Mus musculus: one gene and its partners. The protein of the gene in region 1 purifies or fractionates together with the protein of each later gene. This does not show direct contact. Links are inferred from orthologs where the notes say so. Each region holds a gene or a part of one and is shown on either strand. Other genes may lie near its edges. The genes, in order: Cct3, Nedd1, Tle2 and Dcaf7.

Evidence for each region.
Region 2: the proteins of Cct3 (region 1) and Nedd1 purify together in Homo sapiens (affinity purification with mass spectrometry; 3 studies listed by BioGRID and IntAct, with this or other methods). This does not show direct contact. The link is inferred for Mus musculus from reciprocal best matches to the Homo sapiens genes CCT3 and NEDD1.
Region 3: the proteins of Cct3 (region 1) and Tle2 purify together in Homo sapiens (affinity purification with mass spectrometry; 3 studies listed by BioGRID and IntAct, with this or other methods). This does not show direct contact. The link is inferred for Mus musculus from reciprocal best matches to the Homo sapiens genes CCT3 and TLE2.
Region 4: the proteins of Cct3 (region 1) and Dcaf7 purify together in Homo sapiens (affinity purification with mass spectrometry; 4 studies listed by BioGRID and IntAct, counting the BioPlex papers as one, with this or other methods). This does not show direct contact. The link is inferred for Mus musculus from reciprocal best matches to the Homo sapiens genes CCT3 and DCAF7.

What each region holds. Positions count from the first base shown.
Region 1 is NC_000069.6:88,293,101-88,301,313, reverse strand, and holds the start of Cct3 (T-complex protein 1 subunit gamma), read right to left. Parts: upstream 4,180-8,213; 5' UTR 4,079-4,179; coding exon 4,048-4,078; intron 1,973-4,047; coding exon 1,911-1,972; intron 515-1,910; coding exon 464-514; intron 386-463; coding exon 323-385; intron 1-322. Other genes in the region: Tsacc (TSSK6-activating co-chaperone protein), read left to right, coding at 5,887-5,923, 6,481-6,555. UniProt on the Homo sapiens protein: Component of the chaperonin-containing T-complex (TRiC), a molecular chaperone complex that assists the folding of actin, tubulin and other proteins upon ATP hydrolysis.
Region 2 is NC_000076.6:92,709,537-92,717,307, reverse strand, and holds part of Nedd1 (protein NEDD1), read left to right. Parts: intron 1-1,047; coding exon 1,048-1,142; intron 1,143-3,117; coding exon 3,118-3,234; intron 3,235-5,996; coding exon 5,997-6,137; intron 6,138-7,771. UniProt on the Homo sapiens protein: Required for mitosis progression. Promotes the nucleation of microtubules from the spindle.
Region 3 is NC_000076.6:81,582,942-81,590,241, forward strand, and holds part of Tle2 (transducin-like enhancer protein 2), read left to right. Parts: intron 1-1,661; coding exon 1,662-1,800; intron 1,801-3,271; coding exon 3,272-3,432; intron 3,433-3,913; coding exon 3,914-3,987; intron 3,988-4,150; coding exon 4,151-4,400; intron 4,401-4,611; coding exon 4,612-4,859; intron 4,860-4,932; coding exon 4,933-5,080; intron 5,081-5,867; coding exon 5,868-6,018; intron 6,019-6,478; coding exon 6,479-6,555; intron 6,556-7,283; coding exon 7,284-7,300.
Region 4 is NC_000077.6:106,047,662-106,055,432, reverse strand, and holds part of Dcaf7 (DDB1- and CUL4-associated factor 7), read right to left. Parts: coding exon 7,685-7,771; intron 7,291-7,684; coding exon 7,172-7,290; intron 3,677-7,171; coding exon 3,467-3,676; intron 2,746-3,466; exon of another isoform or gene 2,505-2,745; intron 1,703-2,504; coding exon 1,585-1,702; intron 751-1,584; coding exon 578-750; 3' UTR 1-577. UniProt on the Homo sapiens protein: Involved in craniofacial development. Acts upstream of the EDN1 pathway and is required for formation of the upper jaw equivalent, the palatoquadrate. The activity required for EDN1 pathway function differs between the first and second arches.

The DNA of each region.
Region 1 (8,213 bases):
CTATTGTCCCAAATACTCAGAGGCTTTGAACCTGCAAAATTAATCTCAAATCCCTAATCCTCCTACCTTTACCACCTAAATACTGAGATTAGAGGCACACTGCCATCATGCCTTGATAACCCTTGGATTTCAGACAGGGTTATTTTAGCCCAGGATGATTTTGAACTCATGATCCTACTTCTTCTACCTCTGGTCCCAAAGTGCTGAGATTAGAGGCATACAACACTATGCCCAGGTATCTATATGTACCTGAATAGGTTCTTGGTATTTGTAAAACTGTTAGAAAGGAGGTGAGAAAACAAAACAACAAAACCAAACACACCTCTCGAAGAATGGCATTGCCATCATTGGTCATCACGATGCCTCCCATTGGGTCCAAAAGCATCTAAGAAAAAGCAAAAGTGTTACAGATAACAAAAAAAGGAGGACATGGGGTTTGAATTCCAATAAAAGGTAGTCCAACCTTCATCATAGATTTAGGTCCCAAGCAGGTCCGGATGATGTCTGCAATTGTCTGTTGGTAAGGAAACACAAAACAAGAAGCACAGCAGAGAATAATGTGAGTGTTTCTAATAACCATTGTTTTGTTTTAAACAGGGTTTACCTAGGTAGCTCCGACTGGCCCTGAAGTCAGAGACAGGCCTGCTTCTGATTCTCGATGATAGGATTAAAGGCATACTCTACCATGCCCAGTGCATAGCCAGTGTTTTAAAGACTTATTTTTATGGGTATGAGTGTTTTGCCTAAATATATGTTTGTGCTTCAAATACATGCCTGGTGACCAAAGAGGCCTGAAGAGCATGTTGGATACCCTAGAACTGGAGTTACAGGAGGTTGTAAGCTACCACCTGGGTTCGGGGAATCAAATCTACGTCTTCTGCAAGAGTAGCAAATACTTGGGGCTCAAGAGATGGCTCAGTGGTTAAGAGCACTGACTGCTCTTCCAGAGGTCCTGAGTTCAATTCTCATCAACCACATGGTGGCTCACAACCATCTGTTATGGGATCTGATGCCCTCTTCCAGTATGTCTAATAGTGTGGTGGTGCATGCCTTTAATCCCAGCACTCGGGAGGCAGAGGCAGGCTTATTTCTGAGTTCGAGGCCAGCCTGTTTTACAGACTGAGTTCCAGGACAGCCAGAGCCACACAGAGAAATCCTGTCTTGAAAAAAACAAACAAACAAACAAACAAACAAACAAAAAAGAGTAGCAAGTGTTCTTAACTATTCAGCCATCTCTCCAGCCAGTGCCACTGTTTAACAATGGCACTTAACGACGAGAATGGTAACTATTTTAGACACAACAAATAAATTTTCAGAAGCTATTTCAGTTTTAGTGTCCTAAGAGTTCAGCATTAATACTTTTATTGACAGTGGCCTCTGGTCCACATGAAATCAAGACTTCTAATCATTCACTCAAAAATATACTTACTGAGCTCAGAGTGGTGGCACATGATTTTAGCCCCAGGATTTGGGAGACAGAGGCAAGTAGATCCATGAGTTCAAGGACAACCTACTATACGCAGTAAATTCTAGGCTACCCAAACAAGAGGGGACAGGGCTCTTTCAGAGGACCTAGATTAAAGTCCTAGCACTGATACGGGAACTTTCACAATGGCCTGTAGCTCCGGTTTCAGGGGGATCTGACCACCTCCTCTATGCTTCCATGCCATGTACACACATACATACATGCATGGAGGCAAAACACTCCAACAGTAAAGTAAAACAAGCAAATCTTTTAAAAACCTCCCTTCCTGTATCACCACCAGGGAAATGCCTTGGAAAAAAAAAGCAAGTTTTCCTCTGCTCATTGTATGAAGTACAGAACCATAGGAAGTTTGCTACTACCAATAAGGAAGTATTAGGAGAGTCAGCCAGAACAAACTGCTGTTATCTCATAAAACATGCACTACCTTTGCAGCATTGATATTTCCAGACTGAACTTTTCTTCCAGATTCACGCTTTGTGTTCTGACCTAAAACAGACAAAAACACATGTCAACAGCCCAGTGTACACAATCATTTTATTTCCTAACTTAAAAAAAATGCTACATTTTAATGTATATATCAGGTGTACAAATGCTTGGCAAAACTGTGAGGTCAGAAAACAACTTTCAGAGTTAATTTTCTTTCTATCACATGGGTGCCAGGGATCAAACTTGGTCATCCAAGTCAGGTAGGGTGGTGCATGCCTTTGACCCCAGCACTTACGGCAGAGTCAGGAGTATCTCTGTGACTTGGCATATATATAGAGAACCTGCCTCAAATGAAACAAACAAACAAACAAACAAACAAACAAAAATAGCAACAACAAAAAGACCTCCAGTTATTATTAGGCTTAGTGTCAGGAGCTTTTTTTTTTTTTTTAAACCTGTTGAGCCATCCTACCACCAACCCTATTCATCAAGTTTTGAAAATAAAAATAAATACAAAGTTTTCAGTGTATAACCAGCAGTCAATTACAACTGTTTAAGGTTGAGCGTGGTAGCATATGCCTTTAATCCGAGCACTGATGCAGATGGATTTCTGTGACTTGAACACCAACCAACTTGGTTTATAAAGTGAGTTAGTTCCAGGCTAGCCAGTTACGAAGTGAGATGGCCTGGTAGTTAAAACCTTTGGAAGCTCTTGCAGAGATCTCTGCATTCATTTCCAGCACCAACATGGTAGCTCACAATCATCTCTAACTACAGTTCCAGGGGATCTGATGTCCTTTTCTGGTGTCTGCAGGCACAGACATAGAGGCAGGCAAAAAACACAGATAATGAGAGAACCCCCGGTATAATAAGAGATAACCTGAAATGCTTCAACTTCATAGTCTTGACCAGTACTTTCCTTGTATGCATGCTTACATATTTCCAGTGATTCATATCTTGAGTGCCCTGAATGGGCCTCAGTAGGACAGTGATTTTTCACAAGACTGCACACCCCTTACAACATCCCCGGGAAGAGGAGCCACAGAGTCTCAAAGATTAGTGACCAAGAAAGTCTGCTTGTGAGGCTGGAAAGATGGTTCAGCTTCAATTCCCAGCCCCTCAAGGTGGCTCACAACTGCCTGTAACTCCAATTCCAGGGAATCTTGGTGCCATACACAGACGAAAACAAACAAAATATCAATCACAAGCCAAGGAATCTCACGATAGAACAGGAAAAAGACTAAAGCCTGAGAGCCACCCTGTAGGTAAACTTCTCTCAGGAGACTAGAGCAGAAAATAATGACTTCTTACAAATCTGGCCTGCTGCTTAAAACCTCATGGACTCGTCTACGAGTGTGTAGGAGAGGTAGTGTCACTGAACACCTTTGTCTCTCCTCCCAGTGTGGCCAGACTAAATCTGTTTTTCTCTTTACTATGTTTAACTTTGACCCAGGCTTACTGAGTTATTCTCAATAGCTCAGGTAACTGACAAGGAACTGGTGCTCTTTACTGAGATGAGTGGCGTTCCCTAAAGAGGAAAGAAAACCAGGAAAGGAATTTGGGAGAACTGGCTGGTGGGAAAGATCACATCCAAGATCGGGAACGCCAGGAATGTCATTTCCGAACAAGGGTTGCTGAATGACCGCTACTGAAAAGATGCCACTTCCGATTCGATCTGCCGGTAAAGGCAGCTTTTACTTATCAACTTAACAACTCTACTACAGCCTCCTAAATACTGATGCTAAAGTATCAATCAAGCGAGTTGCCGTTAAGTCACGCCTCTACGGAGGGATGGACCGAGCATAGGAAGCAAGGCCTACCGTTAAGAACCATCATTACTATCTACACGGAAATCATGCTGTAAAGGACACGGGGGCGTGGAGGGTGGCGACTAAAGAACCGAACGCGAATAGGATGAAGCACACGTAAAGACTAGCGACTCCGAGAGCGGAAAGTCATTTTGTCAAAAGAAGGCGACAGGAGAGGCAAGAGAAGAAAAGTGGGGAAGGAGCTTGGTCCAAGGCGAAAAGACCACTGGAAGGCACGAGGGCCGAGTCATGGCGGGACGGAGCTGGGCAACACTGGCCAGCTTGGGGAGAGAGGGGCGGAGAGAGACATCCCTTCCCTGAACTCACTGAGCACGAGCACTGGACGGTGGCCCATCATGGCGGCACGACGCAGAGCCGACTCTCCAGAGCTGGGGGGAATCGGCAGAACCTTCTGGAGAGAAGAGCAGCGAAGAAAACGCTGCCTCCTCAGGAATGACACAGAAACCTGCTAACCTCTGAAGTGCCGCCAATCACCAAACTCATTTTATTGATTGACAAAAACATAGGCCAATCGACAGTATTAGCCCCGCCCTCTACGCAAGAAAGGCAAGGCAAGTTAGATAGAGAGGGCATGATGTAGGGGACTGGGAGACGCAAGCGCTTGCGCACTGGCGTGGCCGCTCCCGGCCGCGTGCGGCCAGAATGTCTGCGCAAGCGCCAAAGCACGGGCAGTTAGCTGGCTCGCTACAGCGCATGAGTACCCACTAGAGGGTGGGTGCTGGGGTGGAGGCTTTGGATTAATGCTGTAGGTAAGATCATGAAGCTCTGTTTTGTCCATCGGTTCTCGTCCGACCGTGAAGGCCAAGGAAGGCATGATAGTTCTCTACTTTTTATTTCAGCCTTAGCGGTAGGGAGGAGTAGAGGAGCCAGAAATACCCGTCGTGGCCCGAGAGATTGAGGCAGTGTAAAAGTGGAAGTTGTCCTACGGGGCGGGGAGGCAACGACTCGGCTCCCCGCCTCCCCGGAGCATGCTGGGAGTTGTGGTTTACTGCTCTAGACGCGCTGGTTTTCTTTTTTAAAGAAAAGGAAGGAAAATTCTTGTTCTTTAGATGTACCTATTTTTTATTTTATGTGTATGGTTGTTTTGCCTGTGCGTATGTAGGTGCACCACTTGTGAGAGGCGATCAAGCGGGAGTCTGATCCTCTGGAACTGGAATTGATTGTGAACCGCCACGTGGGTGCTAGGAAGTAACCCTGTCTGCGGGACCATCTATTGCTCTTAACTGTTGAGCTATCTCTCCTGTCCTAATGTCTTACTTCTTAGAAAAATACGTTGAGTCTAAGGCAAAAAGACATAAAGGAGGATCGCTCACATTTCCCCCGAATATCCTAAGTCGTGTTTCTTGCAGTATTATGAGTCTTCTTCGCCCCCTCCCCCCCAGCCTGGTCACTGGTTAGTGACAAAAGAAACTAGAGTTTTTGTTTTTTTAATTACCGTATTATCTTTACCAGAGTTCTAAGGCTGGCCTAAAACTCGTCGTAAAGACCAGGCTGATCTCAAACTGGAGACAAGCCTCTTGCCAGATCACCCCATATAGGAAAAAGACAAAACAAAACAACAAAAAAAATAAGGCTAGTAATTAAACAGAAGTCTCAAAGAGTCATGACATGTTTGTGATAGATTTAAAGTTCGTATTTGGTATGCTTTGTCTTCTGCAGTGAAAAGGCACTAACAAAAACTGCCGAAGGGAATTGGAGAAAAATTAACAATTTCAGAACAGTTGTTTGTTTGGTGTGGTAGCACACCCCTGTAATAAACTCCAGAGGCTGAGTCAAGAGGATAGCGATTTTCAGTGGCTTCAGTCTCCCTGGACCACATAAGGGAGGCAGCCTGGAGGGAAGGCTCAGTGGGCTTAGAGGGTATATTGCTCTTGCAGAGAACCTCAGCACAATTCCTTGAACTGATGTCTGGCTGCTCACAGTCACCTCTCACTCAAGGGAGATCTACTCATATATGTACATATTCACATAATTAAAACTTAAAAATTTTACATTTAAAACCAGACACCTCTATGAGATAGTGTATACACTGTTATATACTGTTACACTTCGGGCTTTCAGGGGAGTGCTTAGGAAAGAAGACACTGTTGTTTGACCATGTGACCCTATTATTCTTTCCCAGGCACCAGACCTGTTGCTGTCAAGATGGAGCAGCACACTAGTAACCCTACTAAGGAAAAAGGTGTGTCACAGCCCCTGTGTCCCCTCCCTCAGAAGCCAGCCTTCCCCATTCACTCAGGGTTTCAGAAATGAAACTAAGGAAAAAGGTGTGTCACAGCCCCTGTGTCCCCTCCCTCAGAAGCCAGCCTTCCCCATTCACTCAGGGTTTCAGAAATGAAACTAAGGAAAAAGGTGTGTCACAGCCCCTGTGTCCCCTCCCTCAGAAGCCAGCCTTCCCCATTCACTCAGGGTTTCAGAAATGAAACTAAGGAAAAAGGTGTGTCACAGCCCCTGTGTCCCCTCCCTCAGAAGCCAGCCTTCCCCATTCACTCAGGGTTTCAGAAATGACTAAACATTTGCCACTAAACAGTGGCCTGCTACTTGGTTACTTGGAAAGTACTTGTGGGATATTTTTGGGTAAAGGAGATAGGTTTAACTTTGCTGGCTATGGAACTCACTATCCTTACTTGAGACAACCCTTTTGCCAGAACAGTCACATCCCAGGGATTATAGGTATGACCTACTGTGTCCAGCTTTTTTTCTTTTCTTTTCTTTTTCCTTCTTTCTTCTTTTTAAAAGAGTTGTTATATAGACCAGCATGTCCTCAAACTCGAAACAGTCCTGCTACAGCCTTCCCAGCTGCTGAGTTGACAGGCATGTACTACCTACCTGACTTTGATGAGTTATTTTTATAGCACTTGTAAAGTGTCACTAAGTAGATCACAGCTTTGCTGCCTAGAGACCCTGGCTTAATTCCATGCAACTGCCATGTGCCAGTTGTGGAATCCTGACCAAATTTTATTAACATGGGATTCCTCAAGTACAATGCTGCTAATACTGGCTACCTAGGACCATTGAAAAGGATATGTCGGGGCACTGCAGAGGTGGCTCGGTGGGTAAAGTCCTTGCTATGCATACCTGAGGATCTGAGTGTGGCTCCTCTAAATCATATAAAAGGCCAGATATGAGCCGGGCGTGGTGGCGCATGCCTTTAATCTCAGCACTCAGGAGACAGAGGCAGGCAGATTTCTGAGTTCGAGGCCAGCCTGGTCTACAGAGTGAGTTCCAGGACAGCCAGGGCTATACAGAGAAACCCTGTCTCGAAAAACAAAAAAAACCAAACAAACAAAAAAAAAAAAGCCAGATATGGTGGCATATGTCTGTATCCCAGTACTTATGGAGGCAGGGACATAGAGTAAACAGGTAGATCCCTGATGGCTATTGATGAGACAGTCTAGCTGAAATGATAAGTTCCAGGTTTGGTGAGAGACCCTTACTCAGCAAAATAAAGCAAGGCTGGGTGTGGTGAGTTCCAGAACATCAGGGGCTACAGAGAAAACCTGAACCAACCCCTCCAATAAAACAAAAAAGAAAAAAATAAAGTGGAAGGGACAGGAGAGATGGTTAAGAGCACTGGCTACTCTTCCAGAGGACACAGGTTCAATTCCTAGCACCCCTACATGGCAGCTCACAGCTTTCTATAACTCCAGTTTCAGAGGCTCTGAATGCTGATACCCTCTTCTGGTCTCGGAGAGCACCATACACATGAAACTAAATAAATGGAGAGCAATTGAGGAAGATACCTGATGTAGACCTCTGGTTTCCACATACATGCACATACACAAGCACACACAGAAGAAACATGTATGTGTACGTATGTATGATACATACACATGTATCAGAAGCTGAACATGGTGATCTTCACCTGTAAACCTAGGCCTCAGAGTCTGAATATTGCTGCAAATTCCAGAGCAGCCTGAGTTACACAGACCCTGTCTAAAAAAAATATGTATGTGTGTAGTTTCATACGTGTAGTACCAGCACTTAAGAAGCAGAGGCAAGAGGATAGTCATAGAATCAAAGACAGCCTGGGATACCAGGCTGACGTGAGGTCAGGCCAGCCAGGACTGCCTCTCTAGACCCTGTGTCAGAGAGCTGGCTCAAGAGTTAAGAGCAAGGGCTGGTGAGATGGCTCAATGGGTAAGAGCACCCGACTGCTCTTCCAAAGGTCCGGAGTTCAAATCCCAGCAACCACATGGTGGCTCACAACCATCTGTAACGAAATCTGACTCCCTCTGGAGTGTCTGAAGTGTACTTACATATAAATAAATAAAAATCTTAAAAATCTTAAAAAAAAAAAAAGTTAACTATGATATTTTAGCCGGGCGTGGTGGCGCACGCCTTTAATCCCAGCACTTGGGAGGCAGAGGCAGGCGGATTTCTGAGTTCGAGGCCAGCCTGGTCTACAAAGTGAGTTCCAGGACAGCCAGGGCTATACAGAGAAACCCTGTCTCGAAAAACAAAAAAAACAA
Region 2 (7,771 bases), on another chromosome or scaffold:
AGCAGGAGGACCGGAGTTTGAAGGTTGTTCTAGGCTACAGAAGCCCCCCAAAACTTGTGATCTAGTCATAAAATACCAGGATACTCTGCACAATGTCAAAATAATGGAATAAGAATTACCTAGCTGCTTCCGTTGTTTCCATGCATAGACTTTGCTTACTAAAAGTAGAAAGTCTAAAATTCCTATGCTCTTTGCTGAACCTGATGAGCTGACCCAGTCGGTGGGAGGAGAGAATGACGTCTGTGAGTTGTCCTCTGCCTTTCACCCTTGGAATGTGATGTGTGGATGTGCGCACACACATACAAATCAATGTAAAGCACTATGATATTTTAACGTGCTGTGACTTTCCAAACCAGACTCTTATTCTTGGTTAAATTATTTAATCATTTTGGTTTAATATATGTTGTTTTATACTTACTTATTACCCATGTATAATTAATATAGAGTAAAATAAAAGTTTTAAGATTAACTGAAAATAATTCAAATTTGCATAGCATACATAGATTTTATTTGACCATACCCAATCATGTTTACTATATGCTCTATAATATTCATTAATAATATATTCATAGTTGAAGCGTCTACAGCAGTGATTCTAATCCTGAGAAAAGAACAGTCTTCATTTTTCAGTTGGAAGAAGTAGGAAAGTGATGTGGATGCTGAAGATGATACTGAGCGCTTGATCGATAGAATAGTCCCTCAACAGATTTTGTATATGAAAAAGCTGATTATTATTTCTGTTTGTTGCATTTCTCATGTTCTCACATCTGAAAGGGTAAACTTAGACCTGGCCCACTCTGGGAAGGGAGTAGTGTTTCTCATGGGCTAAGTATCTTTCAAATGATAGCGTAGTCAGAGGGATGGTTATCCCTGCAGACCTGGAAAAGAGAATCAGTAGTTGGTAGCCGGAATCATTTTGAAAGCTGGTATATGAGCCGCATTTGTGTACTGGTCTCTATGCTGGCTTACATGACTGTGCTCCTGAGACTGTAGTTGGGTGTCCCGGGTGCCCATGGACTGCTTGATGCTGCTTAACTCTTCATTTAGATAACTTTCTAGTGACAGCTTCTTCCAGTGGTGACAAAATAGTGGTGTCAAGTTGCAAATGTAAGCCCGTTCCACTTTTGGAGCTTGCGGAAGGGGTAAGTTACATGCTTTTAACCTGCTTACAATCTCGCTTTGCTTAAGTGACCGTGACTTGTTTGTTATGCGTCTTTGTTTAAAAACATTTTTCATCTAAACTCTGAATAATACAGTAACAGGTGGGGTTACCGAGAGGTTGATAGGTGAGATTATAATGATTTAGGAGAGCAGTTTAGGCCTTAGATTTCATTAGGAAGGGACTCTCTCTGTTTCCCCTTTTGTCAGTGCACGACTAGGCCACTAGGTTGACTTGACCTTGTGAACCCTCATGATGTAAGTGTTCCTGTTGCCTGTGGGTGCAGCAGCAGCAGCAGGGTCTGGTTCTGCAGGTAGCCTTCTGCTTTAGATGACGAGCACTCAGCACTCAAGGATGTGCTTCCTTAAGGCTGGAGTGGAGGGGTAGGGCGTTCAGGGAGTTCTGGGCCCACGGCACACAGGGACACTCTCGCTCTCACTGGGTATTTCTTTATCCCTGTGTTTTTAAAAGTTTATTCAGGATAACACCATTTTCCTCATTTCCAGTCTCACATTCAAAAAGCTATTCTTCAAAGAGAGTGGCACCTAACGACAAGGTCCTTGTCGCTCCTTGCTGCTGCTGCTTTTTCCTTTTTTACTTATTCATTCATTCATTTGGTAAACTTAAATTTCACTTCCAGCACAGGTGTGGAGGCTTAGAGACAAAGGTACAGGGGGAGTTTGAGGCAGACTGGGCTACCGAACTCTTCAAGATGGGAGTGATAGCGATCTTGGGACTTTTGGGTCCCTTCAGGGTGGCCAGCAAGCTGCTGTTGAATTTAATATTAAAGCCAGGTCAGTTCCTCCAACTCTCACAACTGGCTGGGCTTTGTCACACTGGGTTTTCAAGTCAGCGTTTAGCGCCTCTGCCCACTTGTTTTTTTTAACTTATTTGATTATGTGTTTGTTTATTTGGACAGAGTCTCTTGTGTAGTTCTGGCTGCTGTTTAGTACCTGGAACTTGGTATTTAGACCAGGCTGGCCTTGAAGTCGTCGAGATCCTCCTGCCTCTGCTTCTTTAGTGTTTGGATCAAAGGCCTGAGTTAAACCAAGTCCAATTCCTCCCATTAAAGAAAAGTAGTATACTTTGTACTTTGATACTTCCGATTCTATTTTTGCTTTAATACTATAGCAGATGACAGATACAGATGTGAGTCATTCTGAGAACTTGGTGAATATTCCTGTTCATTTGTATAATTTTAGCCCTTCCCACTTTAAGGCATTACATTATAAAGCAGGTGAAGAAATGTTCATTAGAGTTCTAAGTTTGAATGTGCTACAGTTATAAGAGCTTTTTGCAAGCAGTTTTTTTAATAAAGGAATTTATTAAGAACTTCTTTTACCATGTTAGGGCTGTAGTCATTATTTTGTGGGCCCCCAGCTTTGTTAACTCACATGCTACTTGAGCTATTGTGCCTTTACACTTGGGGAAAGAAATTCCCATCCTACTTATTTTAAAATATTTTTAGAATGAAAATTTAGGTTCCTGGTTTTGTTTTTAATTTCTTGTTTTCCTCTTTGAAGTGGACAGATTGGTATTAACGATATTATAATGGCTATTGTGGGCTACAAAATAACTTTGAAATTTGATCACCTTGTTTTTAGATTTAAAAACTACGTTTTAATATTTTTATCTTGTAGATACAGTATTCCTATAATACCATACAATTTCTATTAATTATTTAAGTTCATTAGATTCATTAAAATACATTAAAGGTCTTCTACCAACAAGGTAAGCTAATCTTAAGTATGGGTTTTATTCTGAACCCTTAACAATAATTATACCTGTGACAGCTGGCATCCAATATATCAACCTTTGGTGGAAACCATCTTTATCTACTTATTTTAAAAGTTATTTTAATGGCTATTAGGAAACTTTGATTTGCAGTGCAAGTAGATTGCTTATGATCATCTCTGCACTCTGTTAGGCTAATTTTGTTTGTTTGTTTGTTTAAATAGCAAAAGCAGACATGTGTCGATTTAAATTCTACATCAATGTATTTGGCAAGTGGAGGCCTAAATAACACTGTTAATATTTGGGATTTAAAGTCCAAACGACTTCATCGGTCTCTTAAGGTAAGCAAATATATCATAAATATTTATGGAATGGGTAGCTCACACCCTGTTTGGATGGTTACCAAACCTTGTCCTCGATATTGGATGCTTTAGCGTCAAAGTGGGCTTTATTGGGGAGATACGGGTGCTGTCTGGCTGAAAGTTTTCCTCATAAAAATTGTTGATTCATGTTGCCTTTTCTTTATTTTTTATGTGTTTCTATTGTTTTGAATGAAGTATTCTTCGAGGTTTTCTTTTTCTTAAGTGTGGTTTTGTCATCAGGGATCTTGTTTTTAAGGATTTTGGGAAAATGTGTGTGGTTCTGGACTTCAGTAACCAGAGTTGATGGTTCAGCTTCTTGGTTCTTCAGTGGGTTTGGCTTCTACTGTTGATGATATTTTTGCTTGCATATTTTTAAACTTGGAAATGGAATAGTTCTTAAAATAATTTACTAATTAAAATCAGTGTTCCCTTAGGTAGCTCTTTGTAGTTTCAAAAAATAAACATATTCATCTCAGGAAAGTGTGGTCAAGACTTCCGTAGCTTGACATCCAGCTTTTTTAAGTATTTAGAAGGTATTACAAAGTTATTTCTAAGTTTGTCACTTATAAGTAGTTAATATAAAAATTTAAATAGTTGTATCTATGTACTCTCCTATATACACAGAGAAGACCTCCCTTTAACTGTTTGTTAACCATGTTACTCATTATCTGATATTAGTAGGCATTTTGTGGCCAGTAATGTTTCATCTGTGTCCTCACCCGTCGTTGGACTGTTTGTAGGATATACCAGACATTTGGTTTTTGTTTTTCTTCCTCTTCTCTCTTAAAGTTAAATTGAGATGGGATCTTGTAGTAGCTTTGTGGCACCTTTGGAAATTTATAGTTTTATGCCTAGCTAAACTTTGAAGTGTATTTAAACTCTTTTTAGAATAAAATAGGAAACTGAAGAGTTGCTACTAATGAAATAGTTAGCTTTTGTCTCGTCGTTCCTTACTATGCTAGCTTGCGAGTGCTTACTGTTTAGTTCAGTGACTGCAAAGCAGCAAACATTCTCATGCGAGTTAGATGTCAAAGAATATGTATTCTCTCCACTCCACAGTGGCGGTCTGTGCAAATACACACCTTGCTCTTTGGTCAGTCTTTCAGTTGTGCACTATGTGAATTCACACTGCTTAGAGGGATATGCCTATTTTGTATAGGGAGTATCTTACCAAACTGAAAGAGCTGAGTCTTGGACCAGATTGTCAGAGTTTTTGGCTTTCGCTTGCTTGATTCCTATATGGCAACCTTCTACTCATTTCCTCTCCTCCATTTTCGTAATGCAGACAACCTTTTGTTTTCACATCATTTGGAATTCATAGAATGCTTTATTGTCTATTTTAAGTCGTATTTCCCCATCCATGAGACTTTTTTTTTCCGCCCTGAGTTCTTTATCTACGCTCTTATCCCTGGTGATGTGAAACAATCTCTGGCATTGGTTAGTGCATAGTGTTTCCTGGCGATGTATTTTCCACAATGGAAATTGGGAAGACAGTGCTTGTTTCCAGAGGCACAGACATTCTGTTGAATGACACGCTCTTAATTCCCTAGGTCAGCACTGCCCATCAGTTTTCCCCTCAGGCATTTGTGCTGTGATAGAAGTGGGGAATCACCTGATAAAGTTGTACTGCAGTGTGATGTCCATTACTTGTTTTGTATCAAGTTTAGGATATTTATCTTAGTAAATGACAGAATACTAAAATTGTTAAAAAAACAAAACAAAAATGCCACCCTTGTAACTCACATCAGGGTTACATGTCCTGCTACATGTCCAATTTGATGCTTGGAAGCAAACCTTGTAAACTAAAGTCTTGTAAGTCTTTTTAATCCCTCAGAGTAGATGCTGTGCGTGTTTGGGAGACAGTCTCTTTTGGGAGGGCCAAGGGCCCTGGAGATTGTCTTGGAGCTGAATCCTAGTCTGTCACTTAGCACATATGTGAGATGCACCAGTCTCTTATGCTTTCATGTCTCATGTGCCTCATCTGTAGATGGGGAAAATGACATTGCCTCTTAAGAGTTTTAAAGATTGGCTAGTTAGTGTGTGATGCCCCAGTGGGAGCACTGATATCTGCTGTCTCAGGCTGACCTGTTACTTTTTCTCCTCCTTTGCTATGTTTGCTTTTCTTCCTTTCCTATCTCTAACTCACCTATGATCTTTTGTTTATTTGCTTGTTTGTCTTTTGCGACTAGACCTCACTATATAGCTCAGGCTAACCTAGAATTCTATGTGGTACAGTGAACTCACGGTCCTCTTTAGTGTAGGGATTACAAGTGTGTACTACCAGTCCCCACTCTTCTTCTTTCTTTAAGGTTGGATTCTGTTGTATGTCTCTAAGTCAGTTGACAGTGATGTCTGTTTCCTCCTTGTGTTCCCTTGATGCCACTCTTCATTTACTGTCATTTTGGAGCTGATTTTAGTGTCTTCTAGTTGAACAATAATACTCAAGAGCAAATGTTTAACTTGAAATAAATGTTATCAACATCACTGGAAGGCAGGCGGTTCTGGAAGGTGAGCATTAAGCCAGTTACCGTTCTAGACTGTTAATGTTTCAGACTCTGTGGACATGTAAGATGGTTCTGAAAAATTGTCTCTTAAGACTCTGTGGATTCTGTGGTGTCCTAATCAGCTCAGTGCTGTTGTGTTTGAAGGAAACTCTTAGCCCAGGTATTGATTAACAGCCATACTCTTTTCATCAAAATATGGGGGTTAATGGCTGCTCTTCTTCACTGTGTTTCTTTCAGGATCATAAATGTGAAGTAACTTGTGTGGCATACAATTGGAATGACTGTTACATTGCTTCTGGGTCTCTCAGTGGTGAGATTATCTTACACAGTGTAACCACTAATACATCCAGCACACCTTTTGGCCATGGGAGTAAGCAGGTATGGTGTTTTGTCTTTTGTTTGTTTTTTGTTTTTATAAAAATAAAATTAATAACTTATAATTTGAATTATTTTACATAAGAAAGTAAGTTTAAGTTTTTTAACATTTATAAGTTTTATTTAGCTTTCTGGAAAACTAGCTAATTTGTAATGTAATACTAGAGTGCTTGTATGAATTCACTTATATAGTTAACTATGTAGTCTTTCTATACTATATCTGTATTTCTAACAAAATGAAAATATTTTCAGATAGCACAATTCTAAAATGCATTTCTGATACAGAAGTATTGCAACCTTCAACCTGTATTGGCCATAAGATGGATAAGTGCATTCATTCTTAGTGCTTGTGGACAGGGAATTATTGTGTTTAGGTAGAGGCAAGTAAATTTTGAAAAAAACCAAACAAACAGCTTTTTTTTTTTTTTTCTTTTAAAGTATGTGGTAGTTAAAATAATCAAAGCCAACTCATACATTTTCAGGTTAGTATGGAAATCTTTATGGAAACCTTTTAAAAGAAAAATTAGTCAATTAGATATTTTCCTTGGTTAAAAAAATAGTTTAAATTTTTTTTCTTAAAAGAATGAAAAATACCTTAATGAGTCTTCGTTGGCTAACATTCTTTGAACATGTCTAGAGACGTGGTTCCAGTAAGGTCTTTTAAGGTGGATATGTTGTATTTGGTGTTGACGCCATAGCAAATTGATAAACTTTAGTGTGACCTATTAGTAACATACAAATTAGTTATAGCCTCTTCTTACCCGTCTGCCCTCCCGTGTGGTGCTAAAGTCTGTTTTGCAGCCCATGGTCCCCGACTTATGTGGTATCCTCCTCAGTTAAGGCTCTGCTATAGCTAGTTAGTTGTTAAGTTGTTAAGTTAGTTGTTAGTTGTTAGTTAAGGCTCTGCTATAGCTAGTTAGCTGTTCTCAGTTCCCAGCGCCGACTGACTGGAAGCTCAGCTGCTCAGGTGGCCTTGCTTGCTTCCTCCTGACTCGCTTTTCCTTGGTGGAAGTTGTGAGTGACTATGTAAGACTATCTGAAGCTTCTGAATACAGTCGCAAGATGTATTAATGTAAGGAAATGGCAGTAGTCGGTCCTCCTCTAGTGCCTGTGATCTCACCGGCCATGAGGTCTTGGCCAGCTTTACTGAATTTGGCACGAGTTCCCTCCTGTTGACTGGACCTTAAGTCCAATGACTCCCCTGTTGGTTTCCTCCCCAGATACGTGTCACTGTTGCCCTGGTGTGGTATCCTGTTACTATGGCTCACAGGGGAGAACTGTGGATACCTTTTCTCCATTGGCAGCTTGCAGGACTGTGTGAGCTGGTCCTCAGGGAGGGGCCTTCAGTTCCTGTCAGCACTATCTTGATCTCAAGTCCCAAGACCAGAATAGGTGCTGTCTTCAACAGTAGTCTTACCTGTTGTTGGAAGGCACCAAAGGGCAGTGGCCATAGGCTGTATTGTTTGGGAGTTTTGGGACTTCCCCAACCAATAATCAAAAGGAAGTTTCTCATGCTTAGTTCTGGGGTTTTATTTAGATAGATAGTCTGTGGCAGTGCTTCTCACCCGTCCTAGTGCGTGACTCTTTAATACAGTTCCTCATATTGTGGTGACCCCAACCATAGAATTCTTTCATTT
Region 3 (7,300 bases), on another chromosome or scaffold:
TCAGTGAGCAAGCCAGCCGGGCCGGGCCAGGGCAGTCTGCATTTTCTTATTCATTTTGTTTGCTTGCTTTTGTTTGGTTTGGTTTTGCTTGTTGGTTTTTGGTTTTGTTTTGTTTGGGAGACAATATTTCTTAGCCTCCAACTCTTTACGTAGTCTAGGATGACACTGAATCCCAACCCTCCTGCCTCCCTTACCACAAAGGACCTTTTTTTTTTTTTGATTCTTTGGGCTTCTCTTTTCCCCTCCCACACGTCTCTGTTGAGCCTCAGGAAACTACTTTAAAGCAGCTAGTTGACCAAGCTGGGCAAAGAAATAGGACTGAGTCAGGTTACTCGCTTTCTGCAATGGTGACCCCCACAACCACAGCACCGGCTCCTCGCTGGTCTAAGACTTGGTACCAGTGTTAAGTGCTCCTAGAATCCAGCAGAGGCGTCCACTAGATGCACGGAAGTCTAACTCTCTCCCTGCATCTTGCCCAGACCCTCTGTCCTCCAAGTTACCCAGGGACAGAGATTTGTTTCTAAGCCTCCCTACCCCTGCAGGTTACCATGACAACTGCCAGCCACCGTGGGCTCCCACTTTATCTAAACTCCTCCCCACTCAGAGAGACCTTGGGGATGCAAAGCCACTCTAGCCAGCTGGGGAAGCCATCAAGGGCATCCCTCAGACCACGAGGGTCACCGTCACCCTGTGTGGGAGACAGACACAGGCCAGAAGGCATGGCGGCTCCCCATGGTGGCACATGTCAGCCCAACACTGAGAGGTTGGAGGTGGAAGAACAGGAATGTAAAGTCAGTCCAGGGCTAGCCTTGGCTACCTGAGCCCTGTCTCATGAAACATGCTCCCAAAAAGAGGTGGGTGACATGTTTCACCTAGGGCTGAGGACCCCTCTTGGGCCAATAGTCCCATTGCTCTGGGAGCTGTGATTTTTGTTAATTGCCTTTTGAGACAGGGTCTCGCTATATAGACCAGATTGGCCCAGGACTCAGAGATCCACCCACCTCTGGAGAACTAGGATTAAAGGTTGCACCACCACATGTGGCCATGTCTAAATTAAAACATTTTTTAAAGCCAGGTGGTGGTGGTGCGTGTCTTTAATCACGGCACACAGGAGGATCTCTGAATCTGAGGACAGCATGGTCTACAGAGTGAGTTAGAAAGACAGAGCTAAACAGAAAGACACTGTCTTGAAAAACCAAATAAAAAATTTTTTTTTTTTAAAAACTTTGTGTGTGTGTGTATCTACACAAGTGCTGTAGTATGCATTTGGTGGTTAGCGTCAACTCTGGGGAGTCTGTTCTCTCCTTCTACTGTGTGGGTTTTGGGGATTCAATACAGAGTGTAACTCTTGGCTAAAATCACTTTTACTTGCTGAGCCATTTTGCCAGTCCAATAGCCTCTAACGTTGCTGCTGCTATCTATTGGTAACACAATTGCTGTCCCCAAGGGCCCCCACCTCTATGCATGAACCCTGTACTGTGGACCCAATTAACACCCACAATCCTGAGGATGTAGTTATACCCCTGACCCAGTCACACCCAGCTTTCCTCTGTGTGCCCACCAAATGTCTGAGAGATTGGCTGGCCACAGTACATGTGCCCTCGATCCCCTCTGATGACTTCAGCCCGCTATGGTGATTCGTGGCCTTTCTTTCTCCACAGAACGATCTTCCCACAGGCACTCCTGCCTCCAGGTCATGTGGTACCTCTCCACCCCAGGACTCGTCCACCCCGGGGCCCAGCTCAGCCAGTCACCTCTGCCAGCTGGCGGCTCAGCCGGCAGCACCCACAGACAGCATCGGTGAGTCCCCACCTGCCCAGCATAGCTCCCCCAAACAGAAATGATGAGAGTTGGCACACGACTTTAATCCTGGGTGGGTTAGAGGCCACCCTGGGCTACATAGTGAAACCATGTCTGAAAAAAAAAAAAAAGGTGGTAAGAGCCAGCCTTGGCTTAGAGAGGGGTTCTGAGAGAAGGGGTGTCTGGGAGCGCTGAAAACAAATGAAGTCAAACAGTGGGTCCAAGCTGGTGGCCTGTGTTGTTCTCTGTCCTGTCCTTTCTTCCTGACCTGCTTTCTTTGGAGATCTCCAGTCAGGCGCCCCCCCCCCCCTTTTTCTGCTTGAGACAGTTCTCCAAGAACTTTTCTCTTGGTATTCTAAAACCTTTCTCTGGTTAGCTCATCTCCTGCAGGTCATAAGCCCAGGCTTTTATTTTCCGTGTCAACCCAGTCGTTTACTTCCTCTTGATTATCCTATGAACCCTGTGACCCCAGCCCCTTAATCTTTAGGAGACAGCAAGCACACATTTCCTTTTAACATTGCAAAAAGGATTTAGAGATCTGCCTGCCTCTGTTAAGCATAGATGCTGAGCTAGCTGGGGAGTGGGGGGAACCCTCCCCCCCTACACACACCTGAAATTACCATTTTTACCACATCTGGGCCTGGAGTCTGTATTCCAGGCTGACTTTGAACTCAGGAGTCTGCTTGCTTTTTTATCATTCTGACAAGCTGGCTCCTAGTGTAGCTACCTCTGTTCCTTTAGATTCATGAGGCTCCTTATACAATTTTTATTGCATCCTTATATTTTTGCATAGTTGAGAAATTATGTATTTTCAAACTTGGGTTTTTAGAGTTCTTTCCCACAGCCTTAAAGACTGTCCTGAAGGTTCCTGAGTTTACCATTTTGCTAAGATATTGGCTACACCTTCCGCTCCTGGACTCAGAGATGTCTGATTATCATGGAGTCACTCCTGTTAACAGGGAGGACATTCCTTAAAGGAGGAATGTAATATCTATCTGTTAGTATGCACGCAAGTCTTTTGGCCTTGGCAGCCTTCGACGCTTTTGGAGACCACATCTGCTTGCCCTGTCCCAGGAGCAGGAACCTTGTCAGTCTGTCCCTACCAAGGCCATGCCAAAGGAAAAAAAGATAAAGGGCTAGAGAAGCTGACTGACAGCACACCCCAAATTTACCACCTGGAACTGCTTATAACCCCCGACCGGGTGCTGCCTGGCTCTGGGCTCAGTTTCTTTGTTGCTGCTGCTTAGGTGAGGACACTGAAGCCCAGAACACCAATGTGACTTTCCCAGTTTAATGATTGTGAGACAAACGTGTGCCTTCACTAGCTGTGTGACCTCAGGCTAGTCGCCCAGCCTCTCTGAGCCTTGGCTTTTCCTCTCACTGGGTCTGGGTTTTTGAAAGACTTTGTTCATCAGCTGAAGGCAGGGAAAGTGTGGTTTGGGTATCTGAGTGTGTGTCCCTTTTCACTCAGCCCTGAGGAGTCCCCTGACCTTGTCCAGCCCTTTCACCTCATCCTTCAGCCTGGGCTCCCACAGCACCCTCAATGGGGACCTCTCCATGCCTGGCTCCTATGTCGGCCTCCACCTGTCCCCCCAGGTCAGCAGCTCTGTCGTGTATGGACGCTCACCTCTGGTGAGTCCTTGGGGAATGGAGCACCAGGATAGTCAGCAGAGTTCAGAGATCTGGGGGGTGGGGAAGGAGGAGGAGAAACCAACTCACCCAAAGAATAAGTAAAGAGAGAGGCTGAGACTGAACTCAGTGGTAGGGCGCTCGCCTGGCACGCACAAAGCCCCAGGTACATACCCAGCACCATATAAACCAGGCATGTGGTGCCAGCCTGTCACCCCAGCATTCAGGAGGCAAACGCAGGACAATCAGAAGTTCTAGGCCAGCCTAAACCACACATTAAGTTAGCACTTGCCATGTGGGCAAAACAAAAGGAATAAAGCTGGGTTAAAAAGCCTGGCCCAGGAGGTTACTTAAAAAAAATCCAAATAGCAATTTTGCAAGCATTTCTGCTTGCTTGGGGAGGGGCCGAGGGACAGAGGGGTGTGGGCTGGGGCCTGGGTGAAGAGGTGCTGGCCCCCCTGCCCTGGGACTCTCTGTTCTCCAGCAGATGGCATTTGAATCGCACCCCCATCTCCGAGGCTCGTCTGTCTCCTTGCCTGGCATCCCTGTGGCTAAGCCGTGAGTAGCACATGGGCTGGGCCATCTCCAGGGTGTGTTGGAGGCCTGGGTCCCTTCTTCCTGGGAATGTCCCCTGGGTTACACCTTGAGTGCCTGTCACTGGCAGTGTGGGTACCTGTGCTGGGGTTAGCCACCCACCCACCTGTCTCTGCGGCCTCCACAGGGCTTACTCCTTCCACGTGTCTGCGGATGGCCAGATGCAGCCTGTGCCCTTCCCGTCTGATGCTCTGGTAGGCACAGGCATCCCTCGCCACGCAAGGCAGCTACACACGCTGGCCCACGGTGAGGTGGTGTGTGCCGTCACCATCAGCAGCTCCACACAGCACGTGTACACAGGCGGCAAAGGATGCGTGAAGGTGTGGGACGTGGGCCAGCCGGGTAGCAAGACCCCTGTGGCACAGCTGGATTGCCTGGTGAGGGTGGGGCCTGTGCGGCTGGGTAAGGGTTTGGGGTGGGGGCGTTGGGCAGGGTCTTTAGGGTTAGGGCGGGGTTTACAAGGCTGGGTGGGGTTTGTAGGGGCTAAGCCAGGTCTTTAGGGTCAGGGCGGGGCCTACAGTAACGCATGGATCTGTGGAGACCTGGGGGAGTACCAACCCTGCCTGGCCCTGCTTCTCGCCGTGGTAGAACCGAGACAACTACATCCGCTCCTGCAAGCTGCTGCCCGACGGGCAGAGCCTGATTGTAGGTGGCGAGGCCAGTACCCTGTCCATTTGGGACCTGGCAGCACCCACACCACGGATCAAAGCAGAGCTGACTTCGTCTGCCCCGGCCTGCTATGCTCTGGCCGTCAGTCCGGACGCCAAGGTCTGCTTCTCCTGCTGCAGCGACGGTAACATCGTGGTCTGGGACCTGCAGAACCAGGCCATGGTCAGGTGTGTGGGGCGGCCCCGGGGGTGGTGAGTGCACAGGTGACTGCAGTCTTGGACGTCTGCTCTCGCCCTGTAGACAGTTCCAGGGCCACACGGACGGGGCCAGCTGCATCGACATATCAGACTACGGGACCCGGCTGTGGACTGGGGGCCTGGACAACACTGTGCGCTGCTGGGACCTGCGCGAGGGCCGCCAGCTTCAGCAGCATGACTTCAGTTCCCAGGTGCGCTCACAATCCTCGGCCTCCCCGAGGGTGTCCCTACCCGGCCTGAAACCGGATAGGACACGGGGACTGAGGAGACAGCTTGGTGGGTAAAGTATTTGCCTTGATGGCAGGAGTTCAAATCTCTAGAATCCACATAAAAAGCCAGACAGACATAAAAAACCTGCCTATAACCCTGGGCATGCCGAGAGCTGGAGGGTCAGAATAGTCAGTGGGAGACGGACTGCCTTACATACGCCTTTAAAAATAAGATTTACTTATTTTACTTATATGAGTACACTGTAGCTGTCTTCAGACACACCAGAAGAGGGCATCGGATCCCATTATAGATGGTTGTGAGCCACCATGTGGTTGCTGGGAATTGAATTCAGGACCTTTCTTCAGCCCAGGACATGTCTTTAATTCCAGCAATGGGAGGCAGAGCAGGTGGATCTCTGTGAGTCCCAGGGTGGTCAGAGCTGCATAGTGAGACAGTCTCAACCCACCCCCAAATACAAATACAAATAAAAAACCACTGCTAGACTAAGAGTGACTGCAGCTTCTACCCCTGATCCTGACTCCCCATCAGTCAGAAGCAGGACACAGTCAAGGCTCAGCCCTGGACCTTGAGCCACCTGTAGAGCCAGCTCCCTCTGCCCAGAATCTCAAGGTGCTGTGTTCCTCTGATGAATGCTAAGGTGTGACACCTGTCACTGGCCACCTTCTTGTCCCCATTTGGGGCACCCCTGGGCCTTCTTCCAGCATCATGTGTGACCCCAGGGTCTCAGCACTCTCTCTCTTGACCTAGATTTTCTCATTGGGCCACTGTCCCAATCAGGACTGGTTGGCTGTGGGGATGGAGAGCAGCCACGTGGAGGTCCTGCATGTGCGCAAGCCTGAGAAGTACCAGCTCCGCCTCCATGAGAGCTGCGTGCTGTCACTCAAGTTCGCTTCCTGTGGTACAAGCCTGGGAGACCCCTTGGCACAGCAGAGGGAGGGTGGATGGATGGGGGTGAAGCCTTAAATTAGATAACGAATTACCCAGGCCTGCCCACCCAGCTGCTTATTCAGGTCAAAGCCAGTTTAGATAAATGCACAGACACATTTAAAAAAAAAAAGATGGACCAGGCGAGGTGACTTGCATGCCTTTAATTCCAGTACTCGGGAGGCAGAGACAGGTAGATCTGAGTTCAAGGCTAGCCTGGCCTGTAGAGCCAGTTCAGGACAGCCAGGTCCACACAGAAAAACTGTCTCAAAAAAAAAAAAAGACAGCTATCAAGGACACTCCATGTTGCCTGGCAGCTCTCAGCTTTTTGATACTGCATAGTAGGCGGCTTCAGGAAGGAGTGAATTTCTAAGGTTTCCTACCCTGGTGGTCACTCCCATCCTCCCCTCTGCCCCCTCCCCTTCCCATCTCAGGACGCTGGTTTGTGAGCACAGGCAAGGACAACCTGCTCAATGCCTGGAGGACACCCTATGGGGCCAGCATTTTTCAGGTACCTGGTCTCCCCCAAATGGAGGCCAGCTCGACATTTCCTGTCCTAGACACTTCCTGTTACAGAGTCCCACACTTTGGGTCCCTCTGTGTACCACAGTGGATTTATTATAAGTACACTGTAGCTGTCTTCAGACACACCAGAAGAGGGAATCAGATCTCATTACAGATTGTAAGCCACCATGTGGTTGCTGGAATTTGAACTCAGGACCTCTGGAAAAGCAGTCAGTGATTTTAACCGCTGAGCCATCTCACTAGCCCTAGGTGGCAATTTCTAATAAGTCTCTTGAACCTTCAATGGATGTGCTATAGTGGTCTTTCACATTTCCTGTCCTTCCTAACCATCAAAGACCCCAGGAGTCTCCAATCCAGAGCAGTACCATTATCAACCCTTCACATGTCAGGGATACCCCTGTCCCTCCAGGACACGGTGACACAGATCTGTAATCTTAGCACTTGGAAGGATGGGGCAGAAGTATGGTTGGTTTGAGAGAGAATGAGGGAAGAGGAGGGAGGTACTTTGCTGTGAAGCCATCTGAAGTCGAGCTGTGATGAGTTAGGTACCATCTCTTAAGTCACCAGTCAGGCTAGCTCAGTCCCCAGCTACAAGGCCCTGGCAACAGTCACATCTACCAGCCTTTGTTGTCCTCCAAGCCCCATGCTTCTGGTCTGTAAACTTGGTGGTGGTGACCATGTGGCCACCCCTCACCTCCCCTTTCTCTGTCCCAGTCCAAAGAATCATCTTC
Region 4 (7,771 bases), on another chromosome or scaffold:
AGGGAAGAGAGGAAGGTACAAAGAGGGAAATCTGTGAAATCAAGAAACCAGAAAGGTTAAATTCTTTTCATAAAAAAACTAGCCTGATAGATAAAAAACATACAAAGTTGAGGTTTGTTAAAAGACACTGGTGCCAGGAGGAAAGACAATCTCAAGTTGGCCTTTGTTCCCACTTAAGTGCTAGCACGACACAGATGGGGACACGAGATGGATGACTGCCTCAGCAGCAGACAGACAGACATGGGCAAATGGACACAGACAGAGCCAGTGCTTGTACTGTTTATGAACACAACAGCTGACAAACAAATATACAGAAACGTTTAATTGAAGAAGCAAAGAAGAGGAAAGGAGTGAAAATTTAAAACCCAGCCCTGGGCTGCAGTGGCGCCACACAGCACAGTCCAACACAGACAGCGGGGTAACTGGCCTGGACTTCTACAGCAGCTTCTGAACACAGTGGGTGTAAAGCAGCAGTAGACATACTGGCCACTGGGAACATGTTCTTCTTACATGGGAGGGAAGGGGGCAGAGGCTGAAGCACACAAGCCCCTGCCGGATACGTGAGGTGCCACCAACACTACACGCGGAGTATCTCCAGGCAGTTGTTGTAGCAGATAGCGATCCAGTCAGGCTGAGTGGAGGCCCACTGCACATTGTTGATCTCTCCCTCAGCTGTGTAGGCCAAGATAGGGTCCTCGATGGCCCGAGGCATCTGCTGGATGTCCCAGATGAGGGCCTGATGGTCATCCGCTAGGGAAAAAGCAAGCAAGAATGTCATAGCTCAGGCAATGGGGTAACAATCTTGCATCTGGAGAGGCAGTCACAATTTGTGAAACATTTGTTCATCAAAGCTTTGTGAAAGGGCTTTATTTTAGAGAAGAGGAAACCAAGATTTAGGAATGTCACCAGACTTGCTCCTTCTTGCCATGTAGCCAGTGAGGACCAAATCTAGGTCCTGACTCCATTTCCCAGGTGTCATTAAGCTCCATTTACTATACCAGGGTTAGAGAATTAGATCAGGACATTGCAGTCAGGAATCAGGGAAGGACACGGGATACAATGACCCCAAACTATGATGTTACTGACAGCCACTAAAAATACTTGCGTGGATAAAGATGCTTCTCTGATGACTGTTTCCCAGTTTATGTACATTTACATTTCAATGAGTTACACAGATGGTTGACATAAAGTGCTATATAAACATACAACATTAAAAAAATTCCACCCATGCCTGTAACCCCAGCATTAGGGACTGGGAACAGAGTTAAGTGATAGAGTAACTCTTATCACGTTCAAAGTCCTAGGTCCAATCCCCAGCACCATCAGAAAATAAATAAAAAACCTGAACTATTGCCAATGAATGTGTTTTGCTAGGTGTGGTGGCACATGACTGTAACAGCATTCTGGAGGCAGAGGCAGGGGGACTGCTGCCATTTGGAGCTCAGCCTGATAAATACAGCGGGTCACTACCTGGCAGCATTATCCAGCAAGACCCTATCTCAACAGAATAAATAACAAAACTAACACAAAACCTTAAGACCCACCACAGTCACCTGGCCTGATACTTCCTCCCGCCATGGTTACCTGCAGTACAGATGTGGCAGGACGAGTGTGGGGCCCAGGCAATGCCATTGACACATGCTCGGTGGTTGTTTAGCCTAGCAACCGGTGTGCAGGGAACTCGAACATCCAGAATCACCACCTGCAGAAATACAAGAAAAAGGCCCAATAATTGCAGAGTGTAGCAGGAAAGCACTATCATGAACACAGCACTGTAAGCATGGTCTTTTCCTTTATGGATCCGAGAACACTAGAGATAGGGTTTCCTGATGGAGAAGGGAAGAAAACAATGAGCTAACACAGACCATGTGTTCTCCTTGCTGAGAGATTGGGAGACTATAAAGAGACTGAAGGAGAAGGGGAAGCAGGAACAGGCCACGTGAGTTAGGATAATCTACAAGCATCTTTGCTAAGGGCCTGTGCATCTTAGTTAGGTCTCACATGCCTTATCAATGCACAATCCGGGATGTAAGAACTCTGAGGCACAAGCTGCACCCAAACCAAGGCTAACTACTGTATCCTCTCGACCAACAATCCACCCCTCATAAGAACTAGCAGACCACAGAGCTGCTGTCTGAGCATCTGCCTGGAGAGTCGGCCTAGAACACCAAATGGGAAGGCCTACGCTTTCATTCAGTCCCAGTAACTGTGACTTGGTTTAAATTCTAGTCACTTAGATGTCACTCGTCTAACCCTTTTTTCTTTATCGTGAAATGTTTATTTGCATTTTTAAAATTAGTTATATAACTAATTCATGACAAATTACCAGATGGATTTAATATTATTTCTTCAGGACTAGAGTTTTTCAATGACTTCAAATTTGAAGCTGGGAAACATACGCATACATGTGTTTAAGCTTAAAAGGCTCTTGCACACTCTGGGCCAGGACAGCAAGTCCTCCATATGCCTGTTGCTCTGACTTACACTCTTATCTCATCCTTGAGGTTTCTGTATAGGATCAGCTTCCTTATTAAACACCACATTCCCAAAGAGGGAGGCCACTGAGCAAACGACAGGGACGAGCATGAAGAACTCCAAGAATCATGTTGACTGTGGTGTCTGCACTGAGTCCCAGGCTGCAGACGCACCACCACTCTTCGTCTCAGCTTTACTCTAGCAGAAATGTATGTATTTATTTATTTATTTACTTACTTACTTATTTTTGAGACAGGGTATCTCTATGTGGCCTTGTTGTTCAGGAACTCACTCTGTAGATCAGGCTGGCTTCAAAGTCACAGAGATCTGACTGTCTCTGCCTCCCAAGTGCTGAGATTAAAGGTGTGTGCTAACATGGCCAGCAAAAGTTTATTGGGTTTTGTGTGTGTATGCATTTGTTTTTTGTTTGTTTGTTTGTTGTTGCTTCTTTTTTGTACTGGGGATAGAACTCAGAGCCTTGAGCATGCTAGACAAGCACTCTGCTACTAAGCCACATTCCACCATATCAGAGATCCTTACACAGAAGGCTGTGCAATGGCAGTGAGTTTGCAGTTACCTTAGGATGCACAGTAAGTTCCAAGCTCATCTGGGCTACAGAGACTCTGTCTCACCAAACAAGCAGGGAGAAGGCTCCGAGTCCTTTTGTTGATGGGATCCTCAGTCAGGCCCCACTGGCCCTTGTTGTGCACGGACACTGTTGGGGACTTTGAGGACTGCAGAATGAGAGCAGCCTTCGTAGTCATTACCCATGTGATGCCAGGAAGACTCCACTCTCTATTTTTTTTAACCTCCTCCTTTTATTTTATTTTATTTTATTTTATTTTTTTACTACACACTCTAACTTTTGACAATCAAAAACATCTCCTTATATTTCCAAAGATATCCTGGGCATAAAACTGCCACCATCTAAAAGCTACTCTTGTAAATATACTGGACAGACTGGAGTCAAGGGTCAAGGCTCGGGGCTTACCTCCATCCCGTCCATGGCCATGGTGGCCAGGTAGTTAGGGTCCTGCTTGTTCCAGCAGAGGCGAAGCAGGGGGTGGTGCTGTGGGTCTTCATAAATGATGGTGCTATGTTCCAGATGGCGGAGGTCAAACATTCTCACAGACCCATCAGCGCCCACAGAGGCAAACATGTCCCTGCCCCCTCCAGCGCGGCTGAAGGCGATGTCATAGACCTGTTGGGGAGAAGGTCCAGATTCAGCTCACAGCGTGGACGGCTGTCATTTCCAGACCATCTGAACCCCAACTCACCACACAGCAGGTAAGCGAGTGGCTTCTCAGAGAATACACATCATCCTACCACAGACACTGGCTGACTTCTTCCCATGCCCTGCTTCCTACTTCTCCTCTAAAACCCTGAGATGCTCTCGCTGACTAGCACAGCACACGGGGGTCTGAATAGGACTCTGTATTTTCTGGCTATTAGTGGTTTCACTTACACGCAGTCAGATGCCGATTCACGATAAATCCACATACGGTTCTACCAAGCTGGCCAGCTATAAAACCTAGACCTGAGATCCATTTGTATGAAAAAGGTAACATGACTTTTGGTTTTGTGTTTTTAAGAGGGCAACTGGAGGTATGGCTTGGTGTTTAAGAGTACTTGTTGCTCTTGTTGAAGACCCAGGTTCAGCTACGAGTGATCTGTAACTCTGGAATGGAGGATGACACCCCCTTCTGGCCTTCTCATACTATACACACATGTGGTACAAGGACATACATACATACAGGCAAACACCCATACACATAAAATAAAAATAAATAAATCTTAAAAAATAAAATCTCTTGTGGCCCAGGTTGGTTGGATACGTGGTAAGGGCTGTGGTGTGTGTGTGTGTGTATGTATGTGTGTGTGTGTATGTATGTGTGTGTGTGTGTGTGTGTCCGTCCGTCCGTCCGTCCTTATGTAGTAGAACAGCACCAGACAAAGCCTTTGTCTATCTAGTGCGTCAGGCCTAAGAAGACAGGGTCTTGTTATGTAGCCCAGGCTGGCAAGCTTTAGACGGTTTTATCTTTACCTCCTATGCACTAGAATCACAGGCATCCAGGAACCCATCACTCTTTCCTTTTCCTGTTGTTTTAAGACAGGGTCTCATATATTCCAGGTTAGTCTTAAACTTGCTATAATATAGCCCAAGATGACTAAGAACTCTTGATCCGGGCTGGAGAGATGGCTCGGTTAAGAGCACCAACTGCTCTTCTGAAGGTCCTGAGTTCAAATCCCAGCAACCACATGGTGGCTCACAACCATCCGTAATGAGATCTGACATCCTCTTCTGGTGCATCTGAAGACAGCTACAGTGTGCTTAGATATAATAATAAATAAATCTTAAAAAAAAAAAAAAAAAAACCTCTTGATCCTCCTGCATCTGCCATTCAAGTGATAGGAGTACAGACATGTGTCACTATACCTGGCCCTTTTGAATCAGTCAATCTTACATAGAGTATTTTTTATGGTTAGAGGAAAAGGGGTTAGTATATTGATCAGAAATAGATGAGGATCTACTAGCAGTATTTGTCCCTGAGTATCAAGAGTGGACAAAGGACCTACTTTTTTTTTTTTTAAAGATTTGTATTTTATCTATATGAGTATTTTGGCTCCTTGTATGTATGTGGACTGCATGAATAGCTAGCATCTGCAGAGGTCAGAAGAGGGCATAGAATTCCCTGGAACTAGAATTATAGATGGTTGTGAGCTGCCATGTAGGTGTTGGATTGAATCTGGGTTCTCAGGAAGGGCAGTCAGGCTCTTAACCACTAAGCCATCTTTTCAACCCCAGACCTTACTTTTTATTTATTTATTTTTATTTTTATCTTTTTTTGGTTTTTCAAGACAGGGTTTCTCTGTATAGCCCTGGCTGTCCTGGAACTCAGAAATCCGCCTGCCTCTGCCTCCTGAGTGCTGGGATTAAAGGTGTTTTTTTAGTTTTCAAGACAGCATTTCTCTGTTCCTGGCTGTCCTGGAACTTGATCTGTAGACAAGGCTGGCCTCAAATCAGAGAACCACCCGCTTCTGCCTCCTGGATTAAAGGTGTATGTTACCCCAGCCTGGCTTCAGATCCTCCATTTTTAGTGAGATATTCTTATCTTCCACCCTGATGTCAGTTGTCATTATTACCAAGATTCTAAAAAGTTTGTTCTGTGTTTGGCATCTGCTGTCCTGTTGGCTCTAGGTAATCCTCAGGCAGAGACACCAGGAATGCCCACTGTGTGGCTCGGAGCAGAGACTCTCTCAGCCTAGGTAACTGCTCTGCTATCTATCTGTGCTCTACCTGTGGGGTTCATCATGAAAGAGGAAAGGTGGCAACTTCCAATGCACTAAACTCTCCTCTACTACACCTGCCAGGCAGCAAACCTTCCCTCCTCCTCTCTCACCACATGCACACGCACACACACACACGCGCGCACACACACACACACACACACACACACACACACACACACACACACACACACACGGCTTTCCCTCAGACAGATCTGCCATCCCCAGGCTCCTTCCTTCAGGTCTGCCATTTGCTTTGATCCATTCCTGCTCCTCTTGCTCTTCTCTGGGTCACAGAGACCTGACTGCTACAGGTCAAGTTTGGATGGGCCCCAAATTTGCTGTCTGCTTCTAGATAGTTTAGACAAAGGAATGAATCAGAGGTAGGAAATTGGATTCTGGGACATTTCCACAAGTTCTTTTAGTGGTCATCTCTGCAGACACACTCTGCATTTGACCCTTGGCTTAGCAGGAGTCAAGTCCCATAGTCTTGCAAAAGAGCTTCCTCTCAGGAGAGCAGAACACCAAAGATCAAACCCTCGGAATGGCTACCTGGCTCCATGATACTCTGTTGATGGCCTTAAGGCATCGTTTCTCCTATACAAACCCTGATACTACTCGCACTGCAGGTGAAGGGGCAGCAAAGGAACTAAGACAGGGGCACAGGCACTGTGGAAGCAGACTTATGCTGGCTTCCCCAGTCACCAGAGGAACGCTCCCCTCGCTTTCCTGATAAACAGCGGAAACACCACCAATAAACACACTTGCCTCCTAACAGGACCGACCGAAAGTAGAAAGAGTAAGTAAATGTACTAGAGTTCACAAGCTGGTTTCAGAGAAAAGTGGTTAATTACGATTGTCTGTCATGAAATTTTCCTCCTTCCTGTTTCCCCCCACCTCTGAGAAGCCATTACATTCAGAGAGAAGTGTTACTCTAAACAGCTCCTAGGATATCTATAAGAGACTTCATCTAAAAAAAAAAAGCAACAAACTTTGATATGAAAGGAGAAATGAGACTCTAGGTTAGGTGGTTAGAGTCATTTAATGATGCACGTTGGGGGTGGGGGGAGGTAGCTCAGCCATGGGGTAAAAGCACCTGCTGTTCATGCCTGACAACTTGAGCTCACTCCTTGGAACCACAGTGGGAGGAGACATCTGCCTGACTCCTAACGCGTGCACCATGGTACACACGTGCCTGCACATATACACACTTTCTCTCTCTCATAATAATAGCAATAAATAAAACATGTTTTAAAGGGTGCATCCAATAAGTGTTGTTTTCTGTTTTAACACATTATAATTTACATGCCAACATTATGATCTACATAGCCTGCAACAGCGTGAGAACACTAAGTGCTCTGTTCTCACCTGCAGGTGCAGACAGCATAGGAGAAAAGGAAAACATTACCTCTTTGTCATGGGCAATTAGCTGGGTCTTCACATGGCCAGACACGAGATTCACTCGTCCCAGCACTTGCCCGGTCTCTAGTCCCCAGATGGTGCACGTTGTGTCAATGCTTGAGGTACCTGCGGACATCAGAGCATGTCAGAGACATACAGACTCCCCCTGCTCTGCTCGGCACAAGGGACAACAGGCCACAACCACGTCCTGAACATTCATTTTTGTCTTTTGTGGTAGGGAGGAGAGTTTCTTGAGACATGGTACCCTGGTGTAGTTCAGGCTGACCTTGAACTCAGGACCTCCCGGCCTGCACTGCACCACCACATCTGCAAGACCTTAGATTCTAGATGTGATAGACACACAGGAAAAGCTAAGCTCCCATGAGGAAGTAACAACTGCTCTCCATATTCACCCACTTCACCCCGACCTGTTCTCAGCATGAACTCAAACTCAGTCGAAAGAGCCGGATCTGAGGAAATGTATCTTCTGTTTCCTCAGGCTGGAATTCAAAGCCCTCACCTAGAAGATAAGGATCCACCTCGTTCCAGTCAAAGGAGGTCAGGGGAGCACAGAAGTCTGAGTTCTTGTTGTTGTTTAGCAAGCACT